2 linked regions of the Canis lupus familiaris genome follow. The protein of the gene in region 1 binds, or shares a complex with, the protein of each later gene. Links are inferred from orthologs where the notes say so. Each region holds a gene or a part of one and is shown on either strand. Other genes may lie near its edges. The genes, in order: MALT1 and BCL10.

Region 1 (8,112 bases):
AACACAGAGCGGAGCCAGAGGACATGAAGGGTACTGGTTATGGAATGAGGGTGAAAGACAGGGGTGCCATGTAAGTTACAGGACTCCTGCATCCTCCCCCTCCATTGTACACCAGTCCAGGACTTGCAGGTTTCCTCCTGCACCCACGCGGCCTTTGAAAACCTGTCCAGATATGAAATAACATGTTGTCCTGGCATTTTTAGTTAGAGTACCATCTAAAGTCAAATTCTGTAAAGGAAAAGAAACTTGTGAGTCAGTTTCCAGATTTGTATTTTGAAGATTACATCAACGGATTTCCATAGAAAGAAACCACAAGCTTCTTGCAGATTGTCTGGATTCACAATGATCTATGTCACTTTTAACAAATGAGGAAGAGCTCCCAAGCATATCATCTAAAGATATGCATGAACTTTGAAGGTGCATTTAAAAGCCAGATCTCCACTCTCCATTTTACTCCTATCTGCGTATGATTGCAATGGTTAGCATAGGAAAGGAAGCGGAATTACTGCTTATTACTTTGTTCCCAAAATTAATGTGGCAGTTTTGAGAGTACTAATATACCCTGCATCTACTTCTCCGAGACACTTTTTATATGTATACATTATTTTTTCTCATTTCATCCTCACAACGTCATTTGAAGCAGGTACTATTATCTTCTGCTTTTTACAGACGTAGAAATTGAAGCTGAGAGGTTAAAGTAACTTGCCTAAAGTCATGTCTCTAATAAGTGGCAGCATCAACATTCAAATTCAGGGCTAATTCTAAAGGTCATAATTTTCCCTATTAAACCATCATGCCCCTTAAGAGAACCACAGGGGGTGAAATTACATAATAAAAATGTTAATATTTGATTAAGAGGAGAAAAAGACCAATCGTAAGATGTAATGTCAGTCCATGGCAGAGGTTGGAGGGTGGTGGGTGGGGTGACTGAATAGATTATAAAACTGCAAGGTAGGTAGGAGGCACCGGGCTGGCTCAGTCAGTAGACCATGGCATTCTTGATCTCGAGGTTGTGAGTTCAAGCCTCACGTCGGGGGTTAGAGCCTACTTAAAAAAATAAAACGGGGGCAGCCTGGGTGGCTCAGTGGTTTAGTGTGGCCTTCAGCCCAGGGCGTGCTCCTGGAGACCCAGGATCGAGTCCTACGTCGGGCTCCCTACATGGAGCCTGCTTCCCTCTGCCCGTGTCTCTGCCTCTCTCTCTCTCTCTCTCTCTCATGAATAAATAAATAAAATCTTTAAAAAATAATAAAATAAAATAAAACAAAATTTCAAGGTGGAAAACAGGACCCAGAGTAGAATGAAATGTGGGAGGCAGTCCTGCTGGCAGGAGAAGAGTGGGTGAGGAGGACATGGGAGGGGATGGACACTGTCAGTATCTAGCTGAGCTATGTTGGATAAAGAAGCACCTGATCAAATTAGGAAGGATTCCCAGGGTGAATAAGATAGATGTGCCGAATAAGATAGATGTGCATTTGACCCCCAGGCACATTTGAAAAGCTGCATAAGCAACGTTGAGCACATAGCAGACTTAGAGAAAAGAAGCCGGTTGAATCCCAATTTTAAAAGACTAGTTGACTAATAAAGACTAGACCAGTAAAAACTAAAAGACTTGATTTCCATAACTGGCCCATGCAAGCTAATAGATTGTCCTATATGTCCGATGACTAAGAACAAAACAGGGAGGCACCAAGAAGTGTTCGGGAAAGGTTATCAAGTCAAGCTGAGTATGAAACAAGCTTTTGCGTTTGTAAAGATAAAAACTAGCATTTGTCACCTACTATGTGACAAGCAGAGTTAGGTGCTTTAGGTACATCATCAGCTCCCTTAATTCTGGTAACAAGCTTATACACACTACTGTGTCTTCGGTCCCATTTTAACAGGTGAGGCAGAGAGTTAAGTAACTTATTCAAGGTCATAAAACTAGAATCCAGCAGATCTTTCCGGATCTAAAGGCACTTGGCCGTTGCATTCTCTGAACTCTGCATTTACACCGGATGAAAAAAAGTATAGCGATTGCTTGTGCTTAACGTGATGGGAGACTGCAGGGATCAACTACCTCGCCAGAAGGCTGCAAGAGTTGGGTACAGGAAATCCTGCTGCCCTGTGTGATGAAAAACCTAATGGCACCAGAAATTGGGGGGAGGGGGGCAATCTGGCTGTGGTCGCATTTCATAAGTTGCTTGCTTTTGCCCCAGGCTACTCCACAGTCTTCAATGGGGGGGCAGTCTGACTCGGAGGAAACCAGACCATTCCTGCTAAAAACAATCATTTGCAAGATCTGCCATCCAGTTAAGAAAAAAAAAAAGTGTAGGCACAGATTTCGAGCAAATTTCCATTAGGTATCTGATGTCTAGGAACCACTTCCCTTAGCAATGCCTACACATCAAACCCTAAACGAGGAAGCCTCCCCTGAGGTTGCCCAACGCCGCTGCGGGTGGCGCCGCGGGCCGCACCGAGTCCCTGAGTCAGCTGAGCGCGGCCGGGCCGGCGCTGGGGAGCCGGGCGCCCTCCCCGCGTCCCCCGAGCGAGGCAACCCTCCTCCCACGGCCTGGGAAGCCCCGACGCCGCGGGCGCCCTCGCCGGAGCCCAGCCGCCCGGGCGCAGCCTCCACCGCCTCCTCCGCCGGCGGCAGCCACCCGGTCCTTCCCGCTCAGCCCCGACCCCACCTCCCCGCCCCGGAGCCGCGCGTCTCAGCCCCGCCCAGGCCCCGCCCCCTCGGCGCTGCACCCGGGCCTAGCGCGCAAGGAGTGGCCCCGCCCAGGCCCCGCCCCGCCACAGGCCCCGCCCCGTCGGCGCAGCGCCCGGCCTAGCGGGCAGGGAGTGGCCCCGCCCCAGGCCCCGCCCTCTCGGCGCCGCGCCAGGTTCCCGCAGCCGCGTGCGCGGGGGGCCGGCCCCGCCCCAGCCCAGGCCCCGCCCCGGCCACGCCCCCTTGACGCAGCACCAGGTTCCCGCAGCCGCGCGCACAGGGGGGCGGCCCCGCCCCGCCCAGGCCCCGCCCCGCCCCATCCCAGGCCCCGCCCCATCCCGGCCCCCGCCCCCGGCGCAGCAGGCGGGGCGGGGCGCAGCGGCCGGCGGCCCCGGCAAAGCTGTGTCGGCGGGGCGGGCGGGCGGCGGAGCTTCCTCCTCGGAGAGCGGTGCGGCGCGGCTGGGCTCGTCCTTCCGCCCCTGCCTCCGCGGCGCCGGGGCGAGCGAGGGGGCGAGCGGAAGGCGCGGCGGAGCCGAGGCCGGCGATGCGGCCGGCGGGAGGCGCGGCGCTCGCGGGGTCGCTGTGCGGGGAGCTGCTGCAGGCCCCGCCGCAGGCGCCGCAGGCCCCGCAGGCCCCGCAGGCCCCGCCGCCCCCGGGCTCGCAGCCGCCCCCGGCCGCGCCCTCGGGGCCGCCGCTCCCCGCGCCGGGCGGCGCGACCCTCAACCGCCTTCCGGAGCCGCTGCTGCGGAGGCTCGGCGGGAGCCTGGACCGAGCGCCCGAGGGCCGGGGCTGGAGGAGGCTGGCCGAGGTGGCGGGGAGCCGGGGGCGCCTCCGGCTCAGGTGAGGGCGGGGCGCGGGGCGGCGGGGGCGGCGGGGGCGGGGAGGCGGGCGGGCCGGGTCGCCTGCAGGGCCCGCGGGAGACGCCGTGGGGGGAAAGGCCGAACCTGGGACTCGCCGCCTCCCTCCATCAGACCGACCTCCCGGGGCCCCTCCTCGCGGGCCCGAGGGACGGGGCTGGACGCAGCACGGCTGGCCTCTTCCCGGGCCCGGAGCTGCCGCCGTGGGGTGTCGGGGCTGGTTTACACCCGGCAAGTACCGAGGACCCCGGAGGGGGCTGCCCGCGCGTTCCGGCTGCCGCCCGCATACCCGGGGTGGACACCGAACACGAAGCGTTAGGTATGCTGACTTTTTAAAAAAGAGTAATCCGTTACATGTTCACAGAAGTGACGTGTTCTTCTTTTTTGGAAAAAGAGGCTTTTCCAAAACAGGCAAAAAGTAGTTAGACAAGAGGCATTGCTTTAGGTTGGGAAGGTCCCTTGCACGTCGGGTCCCTGTTCCGTGTTGCTGCCTTCAGTGGGCCGCGCTGTATCCCGGGCCCTGTGACGCCGGATGCTCCAAAGTGTACGTTTCCTCCGAAGGTAGATGAAAACGGTAAATAGCATCTCAGTGTTCCTGTGAAAGACCGTTTTGACCTTGCGGTGCCAGGGTCCCAGGAACTGCACGAGAGATGCCCAGACCACACTTTGAACCGCTCCTCTATACCGTTGTTGGGATTTTGGTCTGCCTGGGAATCCCTGAGAAGTTCTTGTAACTCCTTATGTGACTAAACCTTGGCTTGTACTGTGATTATTTCTACGCTTTTGATGAACTCCTTGAGAACAGGAGGCATCAGTGAAGATTCTGTGTTCTATGCGTGGAACCTGTCTTAGGCACTTTGGAGTAAATACTTTGGAAAGGGGAGTCATTCATTCACAGTTATGTTTGTTTTCAGGGCCTATTATGAGCTGGAAGTTCCAGAGGATAAAAAGATGACAAATATTTTATTCCTATTCACAAGGGCCTACCTAGTAATGAACTGTTCTTCTGGGGCATTCACAAATAACATGTCCAAAACGCTGTGTGGGATGTAATGATAACAATAGGTTATCATCTATTGAACACTTAGAGTATACTAACGCACTAAGCATCTCCATGTGTTATCTACTTTAACCCTCACAACAACCTCGAGTTTCAGAGTTTGGGGTTAAACTGGGGTCATGATGATTTAGGGTTCTTTGGCCACATGTGAGGTTGGAATTAAGAAGTGGTAAACTCACAAAGTTGAGCGGACAGATGGCACAATTTTCTTTTCCGGGGGAAAAAAAAAGAAAACAAAAAACATGCTTCTTTTAGGGAGAGGTGGTTGTGCAAAGAAAAATCCAAAATACTATTACATTAGGTCCATAGGTTTCTGAATTTCTAGACTTAACAACAGAAAAGTGTTTTCTTCTTTGGAGATCAGATCATCAGATCTGGGATTGGTTAGTTTGTGATTCGTATGCTAGTTAGAGAAGGCTCTGGACTCTGCTGAGGAGGGCCTGGGAATGAGGACTCCTAATTTGGCAGTGGAGGAAAGAAAAGAAAGGAAGGCCCTGCGGCTGAAGAAGCTTGGCTGATGGAATCAGAAAGTGATGGATACCTGACATCACACACTCAGTGTTCCTCCCCAAGCCTCCAGTTGGGTTTTCCCAAAGGCTACAGAATGGTTCGTTTGGCAAACTAATAGAAAAGTCTGAGGCCACATCTCTGATGAAGGTAGAATGGAGAGAAGGGCAGCAGCCTCGCAAGGGGTGACAGGCAACAAAGTGCATATATTCCTAGAACCCGGCAAATTCCAGGGTGGGAGGTCTGAAAAGAAACGGATAGGGAAAAGAAAGAAAGAAAGAAATAGATGGGATTTCACCAGACTTCCAGGTTGGTGAAGATTAGTTCAGAATAGGTGAGTGATGGTGGGAGTGGGGGCACCCCTGCAGGCTGGGAAATAGGAGAACATTAAAGTCATATACTTAACAAAATCAGAATTAAGTTGGCATAACAGAAGGAAACTAAGGGGCTGGAGAGTGACATCTGAGGAGCAAGGTAAGCTGGGGACGCTTTCTCTATGTAAAACCAAAAAAAAAGCTATTTCAGAGTAATTTCATACTGGTGCTAGAAGAGCATCTATGATAGCAGAAAATCCCAAAGATATTTTTCTCTAGTGTGAGATCAAGGAATTAAAGTGTGACGGTCCAAGTGGACCACAGTTCCCATAAGGATGTGGACTTTTTCCCTAAGGTCTTCACAGGTTGCCTGTTGTTTCTTTCCACTTTTTTTCTGACTCTATACATGTTTCCTCAAATAGATGAGAATTTACTGAATCAACCACAAGAGCCCATCCTGAACGGTCTCTCACGGATTAGGAATAAATGTCTTCATATGATTCTGGGTGACTCAGAGTCCATCCAGGTTTACGCTTTAGTTTCCCACGACCGTGTGCACACGGAAATGCCCTAATTACAACCTCAGCCCTAATTCCACTCCTAACCACCCTGCTACTGAACAGCCTTTGCTGTCAGTGCAGCTAGATGCAGGTTCCGAGTGTCTTGGCCAAGCTACGTAAACTGTGTGCTGGTGTGGGACCTCGGAGCCCGGGAGGTGCCAGAACTTTCAGGAGGCTCTCCTGCTGCCTGGACTCCATGCAGAGAGCTTGGAAGGGGGCTGTGGGATGCGGGCCAAGGAGACCCATCACAGCGCACCTGCTGCACAGAAGGCGTCTTCAGCTGCAGATTTCTGCCCTCACACAGTTATAAGCATGAGAACCTGTGAAAAGCTGAAACAAATTTCTCCTGTCTCTTCAGTGTCAGAAATTTGGAGTGCTGTAGGGTTCAGGCCTTGTGTCTCCACCTACACGTCCTCACCCAGTCCCCTTCTTGGTGTATCCTTAAGTCTCAGGGTGGATTACTCGGTTCCTATCTTTGCTTTGAACCCCCTGGATTCGTTAAGCGTATCACCTCCAAAACTTAGCACATCTTCCTCCACAGCCCTCTTTCTCATGCAGTTTTCTTTATCTCGGGAAATAGCGACTGCACCCCTCCGATCGCTCAGGCCCAAAACTTCACCATCAGCCCCGACTCTGCTTTTACACAGCACATCCGTGTTATCAGCGACCCTCGTCTGCTGTACCTCCTGTGCATCCGGAGTCCAGCCTCTCTCACCTGGATCATTCCAGGAGCCGCCTGCCTTCTCCCACTTTGCCCCTGCCCCCAGGCTGTTCTCAGCATGGCAGTGAGAATTATTACTACTTTTAAAAGGTTCAGTCGAGTCTTCCCCTTCTTCTGCTCAAAACCCCTTAACTGCTTTTCTGTTTCAGGATAAAAACACCAGTTAGCTAACCACCTATCTCTTGGACGCTGTTGTCTTCCTTTCTTTGCTCTCTGCACACTTGCTTTCTCGCTTTTGACTTGAACACGGGAGGGTCTTTGTACTTGCTGTTTCCTCCATCTGAGATAGTCTCCACAGGTGAACTGACTCCCTCCTTTACCCCTTCAAGTGTTTGCTCACAAGTCACCTCCTTCAATGAGGTCTTAAGTGATCACATTATTTAAAAACACCCAGTACGTCCACTCCAGCATTACTTATTCCCCTGCTTTGCCTTTTTTTGCTCCAGAGCACTTATGACCATTGGATGGACACACACACACACCTCTCTCTTTGCCTGCCAGTGCATGTGTGTGTGTATATATATATGTAGTAGTAAAATCCAGGCTGATAGAGAATTTTGTCTTGTTTGCTACAGTATCCTAAAGAACCTAGAAAAAATGGTTGGCCTATTTTAGATGACTAATGAGTAGTTGCTGAGTTAATGAATAGAGATTTCAAAGAGTAAATGTTCCAAGAAGAGAAGCAAAAGAACCTGAAAGCGGGGTCATGATTTGTACCCTAAGGGATGCATGATGTGTTTTATTTGGGTATATATTTTTTTATAGTGAAGATAAATAACTTTTTCTTAAAAGCAAAACCCGTTTGTTTCGGTAATAGTCTTTCAACTTAAATGAGAAATTCCAAATTAGGGCTGATAGAAACCACTTCAAAGTATAGTCTTACAGGAATGTAACTAAAAAAGGAAAGAAACGGTCTGGGTATGTAGAGGCATCATCTTAGCTGAAAGCCAGGGCCCGTGCGGAAAGTCAGTAAAAAAGGAAAGGAGATACAGAATCTTGTTTTTCTCCCGTGCCTCTTGTATTGGAAATTTTTGTCTACTTCAGCTTGGCCTCTTTCTTCATTTGGAAGAAAGAAGTCAAACTGTTTTTCTCTTTCTTCTGTATCAGTATAAACATCAAAGCATCACTTGGCTGCATTTGATGAGATGGCTTCTGAATTTTATGTACCAGATTCTGACTACCTTTCTGAATCATAAAATATATATATATATATATATATCATACAGCATCCTTGTTTTTATAGATCTTAATTCTAATTATTTAAAAGAATAGTAATCCTTCTATTGTCTCTAATACTGGTTTCTTGACCTGGGTGTTACAGGAACTAATGAAAGGAAATTTTACGGAATAGAGGACCAGCAGGCATCCATCCCCAGCTTTCATTGTTGCTGTCATCATAGTCACCAT
Region 2 (8,352 bases), on another chromosome or scaffold:
TCTTGAAAAGGTGCCCAATCCTCATTACAGCCTGACCATGTGGTTGAGTAGAGAAGTGGAAATGTGTCTGCTCATGAAGTATGGTGCACCAGAAAAAAAGTGGGCCTGGATGCTGCAAGACCTGCCCTGAACCAGCTCCGTGATGAGGCACATGACATTCCGATGTGGCTGCTTTGACACAGACTGTCCACTTGGGAACGTGGAGACATGGCGTCAAAAACAAAAAGGTTAACCTCTTGGCTTTGAAAAATCCCTAAGCTCCTCACTCAGTCCCTCTCAACCCCTGATCCTCTCTCTGAACCCCCACATAGCAGACACTTTACCTTTTAGCTGAGTAAATGAATAAAGAACTGCACACTGAGCACAGAATGAGGTTGGAAGTGTCAGAAATGAAACAATGGTCAACAATGAGGAAAAAGTCAGATGTATGGCAAGAGTCATGAAAGAAGTCTCAAGAATAAGAGGTGTCTGACACTAACATTTGGTGATCAATAGTCGTAACAGAAGGCAATGTGGCAAAGTATCAACATTCGCCAAACATTGGCAGTGAATATAGATGTTTGTAATATTTTTCTCCACAGTGTGGTGTGTTTTAAATGTTTTGTTTAAAAAAAGAACAATCTGGGTGGCTCAGTTGGTTGAGTGTCTGGCTCTTGATTTCTGCTAAGGTCATGATCTCCGTGTTGTGAGACTGATCCTCATGTTGGGCTCTGTGCTGGGAGTGGAGTCTGCTTAAGTCTCTCTCTCTCTCCCCCCTCCCCGCCCCCCAGGTGGCTCAGCGGTTGAGCATCTGCTTTTGGCTCAGGACATGACCCTGGGGTCCCAGGATCAAGTCTCACATCAGGCTTCCTGCATGGAGCCTGCTTCTCCCTCTGCCTGTGTCTCTGCCTCTGTCTCTCTGTGTGTCTCTCATGAATAAATAAATAAATTAAAAAAAAAAAGATTCTCTCCCACTCCCTCTACCCCTCATCCCCACCCCCCTACCTGCCACTGCCCCCCTCCACGGGTACACACACATGCACATGTGCTCTCTCTCTAGAAAAAAAAATAAAATAAAAATAAATAAATAATAAAAAAGAACAATAGACCAACTCCTAATAGCTACATTGAAATGGTTGTGTCAAGTTGGCATCGTTGAAATCACTTTACTTTAAGGGATGCTGTATCCTCTCCTTCATCAGCGGAGCTTGTATTGTTGTGGCAAAACAGTTCATTTCCACACACACAGATGGACCAAGACTTTGGAGAGAAAGTATGGAAATATATATATGAAAACACATTTCCTTGGGCTCTGTACTCCTGCTCCTGAGAATTTGTGCAGAGGAAATGATAACTCAAAAGAAAAAAGGATGGAGAACATGTAGATGAATAAATGGGAGACAAACTGTTTATAACAATGACAAAGTGAGAAGAACTTAAGGTGACCACTAGGGAGTGCTCAGCACTGCTCCCACTCTGGTCACGCCACCCCCATCTCCCCCTAGATCCCTGGGGTAGCCTCCAGCTGTCTCTGCTTCTACTTTTACACCTACAGTCTACTCTCAGCAGCCAAAGGTAGCCCTTTTAGAAGGAAATGAAATCGCATCCCCACTTCTCTCCCAAAGGTTCCCACCACCCTTGCTGCTTCTAGCCCTGACTTGAGCCACCACCTCCCAGACCCTGAATTTCGGGAACAGCACCCTAACTGGTCTCCCTTTTTCCATCTTCCTTCTCCTCAAGGCAACAGTGAAACTGTTCCTTTTTCAAATCATAAATCGGATCATGTCACTCCACTGCTCAGAACCCTCCAGTGGCTTCCCCTTTGACTCAGAGTACACCCATATGACTCAGTAAAATCAGGTTACACATTTACAGTAGCACACAAGGACCTCATCTCCTTCCCAGTCCCACTGGATATTTTTCATTGGCTGTTCCCTCTACTCATAATGTTCTTTCTCCAAATGTCCACATGACATTACCTCACTCTCTTCAAGTGGTAGCTTAAATCTCCTTTTCTCAGTGAGATCTTCACAAACTACCCTATTTTAAACGTTACCACTCCAGTACTGAGTGATGAATAATGTATAGAATTGTTGAATCATTATATTGTACACTTGAAACTAATATAACACTCTGTGTTAATTATAGTTGAATAAAAATATTTTTTTTTACTGTTAACATCCCATATACCCTTATCCTACTATCCTGTTTTGTATTTTCTCTTAGCATTTGTTATCTTCTAACAGAATAACTTTACATATCATTTTCCAAATGTCTATTTGCTCTGCCCTGAAACACATGTATGCTGGACTTTAAACTCCAGGAAGAAATAAATTTTTACCTATTTTGTTCATAGCTGTTTCCCCAAACCCCAAAACCGTGTCTGGTGCATAGTTGACATTCAATAAATATTTGTAAAATGAAAGAACAAATGGTTAAGTAAATTGGGTTAAACCAAGATGAGGGAAGATTAAGCAATCAGATAAAACTGTACTGTGGATCAATGTAGGAAAAGACACATGATGTAATGTAAATGTTAGAAGCTTATGATGGAGCCCGAAGCTGCTAAGAGACATCTGTGTGGCTTTGGCAACATTGTCCTTTTCTGGTTCTTTTGCTTTCCCTTCCTTTAAATGTTAGAGTTCTCAAGAGGTATCCCACTGGCTGGTTCTGTGGGTAGAGCATGTAACTCTTGATACTGGGTTGTGAGTTCAAGCCTCATGTTGGGTGTAGAGTTTACTTTCAAAAAATGTTGGACTTCCCAAGTTTGTCTTTGTCTATCTACCTCTTGTCCTGTCTACCCTCACTGCTTCAAATACCACGGAGTTTATTCAGCATGTTGTCCAAACCATTGTCTTGGGCCCATTGTCTTGTGTTTTGAACTTCTCATCCACATTATTCATTCTTTTTTTAAAAAAAAATATTTTATTTAGTTATTCATGAGAGACACACAGAGAGAAGCAGAGACAGAAGCAGGCTCCTTGTGGGAAGCCCGATCCTGGACTGGATCCCAGGACCCCAGGATCACCACCTGAGCCAAAGGCAGATGCTCAACCACTGAGCCACCCAGGTGTCCCCATTCTTCATTATTCATGTTGTTCTGTATACACTTCCATTAGTAGTTAGATACCATTCTGGGCGTAGTTGTCTGCTTATCAGTCTCCCCCATAAAAATAGAATTCTTCTAAGATAAGATGACTAGACATATTAGTAAGGACTCAATAAGTGTTTGGGTAGTAAAAGATCATCATAAACGGAGTTCATACTGTATGCCAAGTACCTCTGAGAACCTTACATATATAGTATCATTTAATTCTCACAGCAGCCCATAAGGGATGTAAGGTAGACATCCCTTCATCACACAGATGGAACAAATAAGGAAACAGGATCATAAAAAAGTGACCAAAAAGCATGCTGACGTTAAATCGAGTGCTAAAATGAAAGGATTATAGGCGGTTTTTCTCTTTCAAAAATGTCTTGACAAAAAAAAAAAAGTCTTGACTATTGCAGCGGAGCTGCCCGCGGGCCGCGTCCGAGCAGGCGGGTATCTAACCCCACAGCTTCAGTAGGTTAAGGCAGCGGCCGGAAGCTGCGGGGCGGGGTCTGGGGAAAGGGGAGGAGCCCGGGGGGGACGGTCCGGCAGAGACCCGCCTCCGCCGGCGAGCGGTCCGCAAAGGCGGGGCCTGCGGCGGGAGGAGCCTCGGGCCCCACCCACGGAAACGCTCCCGGCAAAGGACGCGCGGGGGCTGTGGGCGGGGCCGGGGGCGGGGCCAGGCTCGGGCCCCGGGCCGGCAGCGATTGGCTCCCGCTGGGAGGGGGCGGGCCCCACGGCCAGCCCCGCCTCGTCGGGGGGCGGGGCCTGCGCCGGCGCCTCCGGGAGAGGAAGGAGCGCAGCGCGGAGCCCGCTGGGGGACGCCCAGGTCTGCGGCGCCCTCGGCCCCAGAGGCGGAGCCGGAAGCTCTACGGGCTCGTCCGTGAGCCTCTGTTTTGGAAGCGGCAGCCCTCTTCCTCTCGACCCGCTCCGCCTGCCCTTGTCGCCGCTTCACCCGGAGGCCCGAGTCCCCTGCCTGGCCGGGCGGTGCCGCCGCAGCTCCCGGACCCGGAAGAGGCGCTACCCCGCTCCTCCGCCATGGAGCCCGCTGCGCCGTCCCTCACCGAGGAGGACCTGACCGAAGTGAAGAAGGACGTGAGTAGCCAGCCTTGCCCGGGCGCCGCCGAGGGCCGGGGGTCGCGGGTGGGCAGGGGCAGGCCCGGCCGGGCGGGCGGGCGAGGAGAGCGGAAACGCGGAGTGGGAGTCCGAGCCGGAGAGGAGCAGGAGCCTGCGGGTCCGAGGGGCTCCAGGTCCGGGCGCTGCTGCACGACGGCGCCCGAGGGACCTCGGTGGAAGCGACCCCTCGTGACCTGTTAATCCACGTTTAGGTCGCTGGGTTCTGAAACCCTGTCCAGTGGAGCGTTTCACCGCACTCAGCTTCTTGCCGACTCTCCACTCCTCCCCGGGGATCTCTACCCCCCACCCCTGCGCTTTGGGGCCGCGTCGTCGGGAGTCGACTGCCCAGGTTCCGCCTTGAGTCACACTCCCTAGGCTGCTGGCCCAACCTGGAGCGACAGCTGGACCCGAGAAAGGCTCCAAGCAGTGGAGCAAATATGTGAAACTCTCTTATAAAGGGGGGTTGGGGGAAGCTCAACAGCTGAAAGCACAACCTGGAATTCCCCTAGTAAGCAAACGCCCACATATTTAAATTGGGGGGTGGGTGTAGCCGAAAATTAATTTACAGGTAAATGCTGAAAATATTCAGTACCTAAATTATGCCCTTTTGCTTGGATGCTGCAGAACTGCACAAATCTTAGTACTTATTTGTTGAGGTATCTCGTTTCTTTTGCTTTTAATTACTTGTTTTGCCACGTGAGACCTGTAGGAGTACCCCCAAAATACTTCGTGTAATTTCGAATTAAAACCAGAAACCCAACAGAAAATGAGTTCTGCAGCACTTAATACAGAATTATATTTGTGAACTGGACAAGACAGCAGCTTTTTTAGATGTTCATCTACCTTAGATGCTTACCCCCTTTTCTCCCTTGAAAGGTTTATTACACTGCACTCATAATTACATAATGACAATTGGAATGACTCATTAACAGAAGGAAACTGGATATGACAGGGATTTGTGCCTTAGTTTGCTCATTCAGCGATACAGATGGAGCGCTTAGTATATGGAAGGCACTGTCCTTGGGCCTGGAAAGATACAAAAAAAAAAAAGATAATCTGGCCTCTGCTTTATATTCTAGTCGAGATAAAACCGGGACATTGATAACTACCACAGAATAAATGAGTGTTGTCTTATATAAGATTGGTGCCAGTGGAACCATGCACTTCAAGAGCTAAGCCTGTGGTGTTCCAAAATCTTTGTCACATAATTTGCAATGTTCCCATTTAATCTTTACAGCAGTGCTGTGAGAGGTTACAGTTGGGCATAAATATAAAACCTGTACACAAACACAGTTGTGAAGAGTGTCTTCCAGGTCTCTTTTTTATTTATTTATTTATTTATTTTTTCTCTTTTTTTTTATATATTTTTTCATTTATTCATGAGAGACACAGAGAGAGAGAGGCAGGCAGAGACACAGGCAGAGGGAGAAGCAGGCTCCATGCAGGGAGCCCGATGTGGGACTGGATCCCAGGTCTCCAGGACCACGCCCTGTGCAAAGGCAGGCACTAAACCATTGAGTCATCCAGGGATCCCCAGTCTTCAGGTCTTTATTCACTTTTTTTCCCTGTCAGTTCATTGATACTATCCATCTCCATGATTTCAATTTACAGCTATCTCAGCAATTCATAATCTTGGGGAATCATGAAGGGGTCTCAGGAGGTCTATGAAAAAAATGTATGTGCACATTTTTTTTCTTAGAGATTTTTTTCATGCTATTTTCAAAATGGTTGATGACCTCAGTCTTAAAATTATCATACAAATATTTGCACTTCCTTCTTTGTCAACTCTAGATGCTTGTTTCCAAATATCTACTGGAAATTTACTTTTATGTTCTGTACACTCCTCATCTTGTCAGAAATTGAACTTTTTATCATCCCTTCCCCAAAGCTGCTTGCTATATTCTCTGTCTTGATGGATAGTATGCCACCACCCCAGCCTTCTGGAAAGTCCCACTCTTTCATTATGCTCCTCCCTTCCCCCTGCCCCCATCAACTTGTTTACCTCATCTTTTGGATTACATGCTGCTGTGAGGTATGCATGGTTCTAACAATTCGAAAATTAGAAATTAAGACGCAATCCCAGTTTGAAAAGAGCTTAATTTCCTGGAAGGAGGGAAACAGACATAAATTAATAATTGCAAATTACAGAATAAGTGCAATGAATTTTGCATTCATCTAGAACACTATCTACTTGACACTCTGCTAAGTGCAGGATATACAGAGTTGAACAAAACAAATGTGGTTTTTGCCTGCTTCAAACATATAGGTCATTAAGGTTGAAGACAAATATATGCTTACAAATTATGCTAAGTACTATGAAGGAGACAAACAGGTATTGAGACAGTAGCAGGGGGAATCAACTTGACATAGGACGGTCAGGGAAGGTTACATTTAAAGTGGTTGCTGAAGAATATAGCAGAACTGGGGCAATAATCCTCTAGGCAGAGTAAGGTTTGTAAAGGAACTAAAACAGGCAAGACCTTGGTGACTTGGGGAAATTGGAAACAGGCAGAGGGTGCTCTGAGAAGTTAGGAAGGTTGGCCTAGAGCCAGATCATGGAGGATTTTACAGATGGTAATAAAGTATTAGGATTTTTCTCAAGTGTAGTAGGGGTCTGCTGAAGAACTATGTTAATATTTTTAATCCCTTTGCCTATTGTATGGACGGAAGGGAGCAAAAGTGAGAAGAGGGAAACTATATTAATTCATGGAATTAATATAGTTAAGAGCTGATGGTGATTTGGATCAGGGGGAAAGCAGTAGAAATGGATGGAACAGGAGGATTCCAGATGCATTTTTGAAATAGAAATGTTAAGATTTGGTGATGGATTGAATTGAGAAAGAGAGTAGAGTCAGACTGGTGAGTGAAAATGTCAGATCAGCAATTAGACCTACAAATCTGAAGATCACAAAGGAGATCCAAGCTGTGGGATTGAGTGAGTTCACCTAGAAAGTTGAGAGCTAGAAGGGAAAAGGGAGATCATAGGGGAGTTTTTTGGTTTTTTTGTTTTTTGTTTTTTGTTTTAAATGAAAGGTCATAGCCACAGAGATGGGAATAGAGCCAGGGGAGTGTGGTATTCACGAAACCAGTATTTCAAGGAGAGGGAGTGGTCAGCTGTGTCCATGCTGCTGAGAGGTAAAATGAAGACAAATGAGGATGAGATTTGACAGTGACGAGGTTCTTGGTGGCTGAGAAGAGTAATGATACAGAATAGAAATGAATTGGGAGATAGGAAGTATAGTTGTGGTATGTAGAAAAGTGAAGTATATGCACAGGGTGCTACAAGGACAGAAGAGAGGAGTGCCTAATTCCTTCTGGGGAGTTTAAACAAAGCTTCCTGAAGGAGGTGACCACTGTGCTGAATCATAAATGATAAATAGGGACTTAGGGTATGAGAAGAGAAAATCAGATAAAGTGACAACATGAAGAACTACACAGTGACAGTTTTAGGTAGAACACAAAGTACCAGGACAGTTAGAGGTGGTGACAGATTAAGCTCCAGAGGCAGGATCCATCCTATGAAGTGCCCTGTCTGCCATTATCAAATAGCTGTTACTTATTGTGTACTGACTGTGTATCAGAGACTGTGTCAAGCCTTCATACTCATTGTCCTACTGAGTCCTTCTAGAGGTTCTGCAGGGTAAGTGTTTATCACTATTTTACAAATAAGGAACCTGAAGCTTAGCTTAAGTTTCTTGCCCCAGTTCTTAAAGAAGTATATGGCAAATTACGATCCAAACTGACATTGGCCTTATTCAAAGCCATACTCTTGACCTCTCTACTATTCTGCCAAAGTTGAGGAACTTTATCTTTTAAGTTGGTGGAACACACTGTTTTAAATTTTTACAAAATTAACTGACAACATTTCAATATTAGTAGAATTCCACTCCAGATTTTCATTTTCTCTTGAAAAATTGGAAGATCTGATAGATGTGTGAAGGAGAAATTTGAGTGGGAGGAAAAAAATGGGAAGTACAGCTAGGTGTCTTGTTTGTTAATAGTCCCTGCAACGTATGACGAAGACCTGAGCTAAGGCAATGCTAATGATAAAGATGAAGTGAAGGGGCAGATTTGATAAATACAAGGGGTAAGTTGGCAGGACTTGGTGGGTAGGTGATCAGATGTGGCAAGGGAGCAACAGAGAGGAAGTTGAGGATGAGTTGAAG

What was found.
Region 2: the proteins of MALT1 (region 1) and BCL10 are in contact, whole or in part, in a cryo-EM structure (PDB 6GK2), measured with the Homo sapiens proteins. The link is inferred for Canis lupus familiaris from reciprocal best matches to the Homo sapiens genes MALT1 and BCL10. Residues at the interface, in NP_006776.1 of Homo sapiens: Asp46, Gln47, Ala48, Pro49, Trp54, Arg55, Leu74, Glu75, Ser78, Leu79, Val81, Leu82, Glu83, Pro84, Glu85, Gly86, Pro88; in NP_003912.1 of Homo sapiens: Leu13, Lys17, Val83, Arg87, Asn93, Gln97, Thr100, Leu104, Arg107, Asn108, Leu111.

The regions. Positions count from the first base shown.
Region 1 is NC_049222.1:17,511,313-17,519,424, reverse strand, and holds the start of MALT1 (mucosa-associated lymphoid tissue lymphoma translocation protein 1), read left to right. Parts: upstream 1-3,230; coding exon 3,231-3,526; intron 3,527-8,112. UniProt on the Homo sapiens protein: Protease that enhances BCL10-induced activation: acts via formation of CBM complexes that channel adaptive and innate immune signaling downstream of CARD domain-containing proteins (CARD9, CARD11 and CARD14) to activate NF-kappa-B and MAP kinase p38 pathways which stimulate expression of genes encoding pro-inflammatory cytokines and chemokines.
Region 2 is NC_049227.1:63,254,201-63,262,552, forward strand, and holds the start of BCL10 (B-cell lymphoma/leukemia 10), read left to right. Parts: upstream 1-3,841; 5' UTR 3,842-4,108; coding exon 4,109-4,165; intron 4,166-8,352. UniProt on the Homo sapiens protein: Plays a key role in both adaptive and innate immune signaling by bridging CARD domain-containing proteins to immune activation.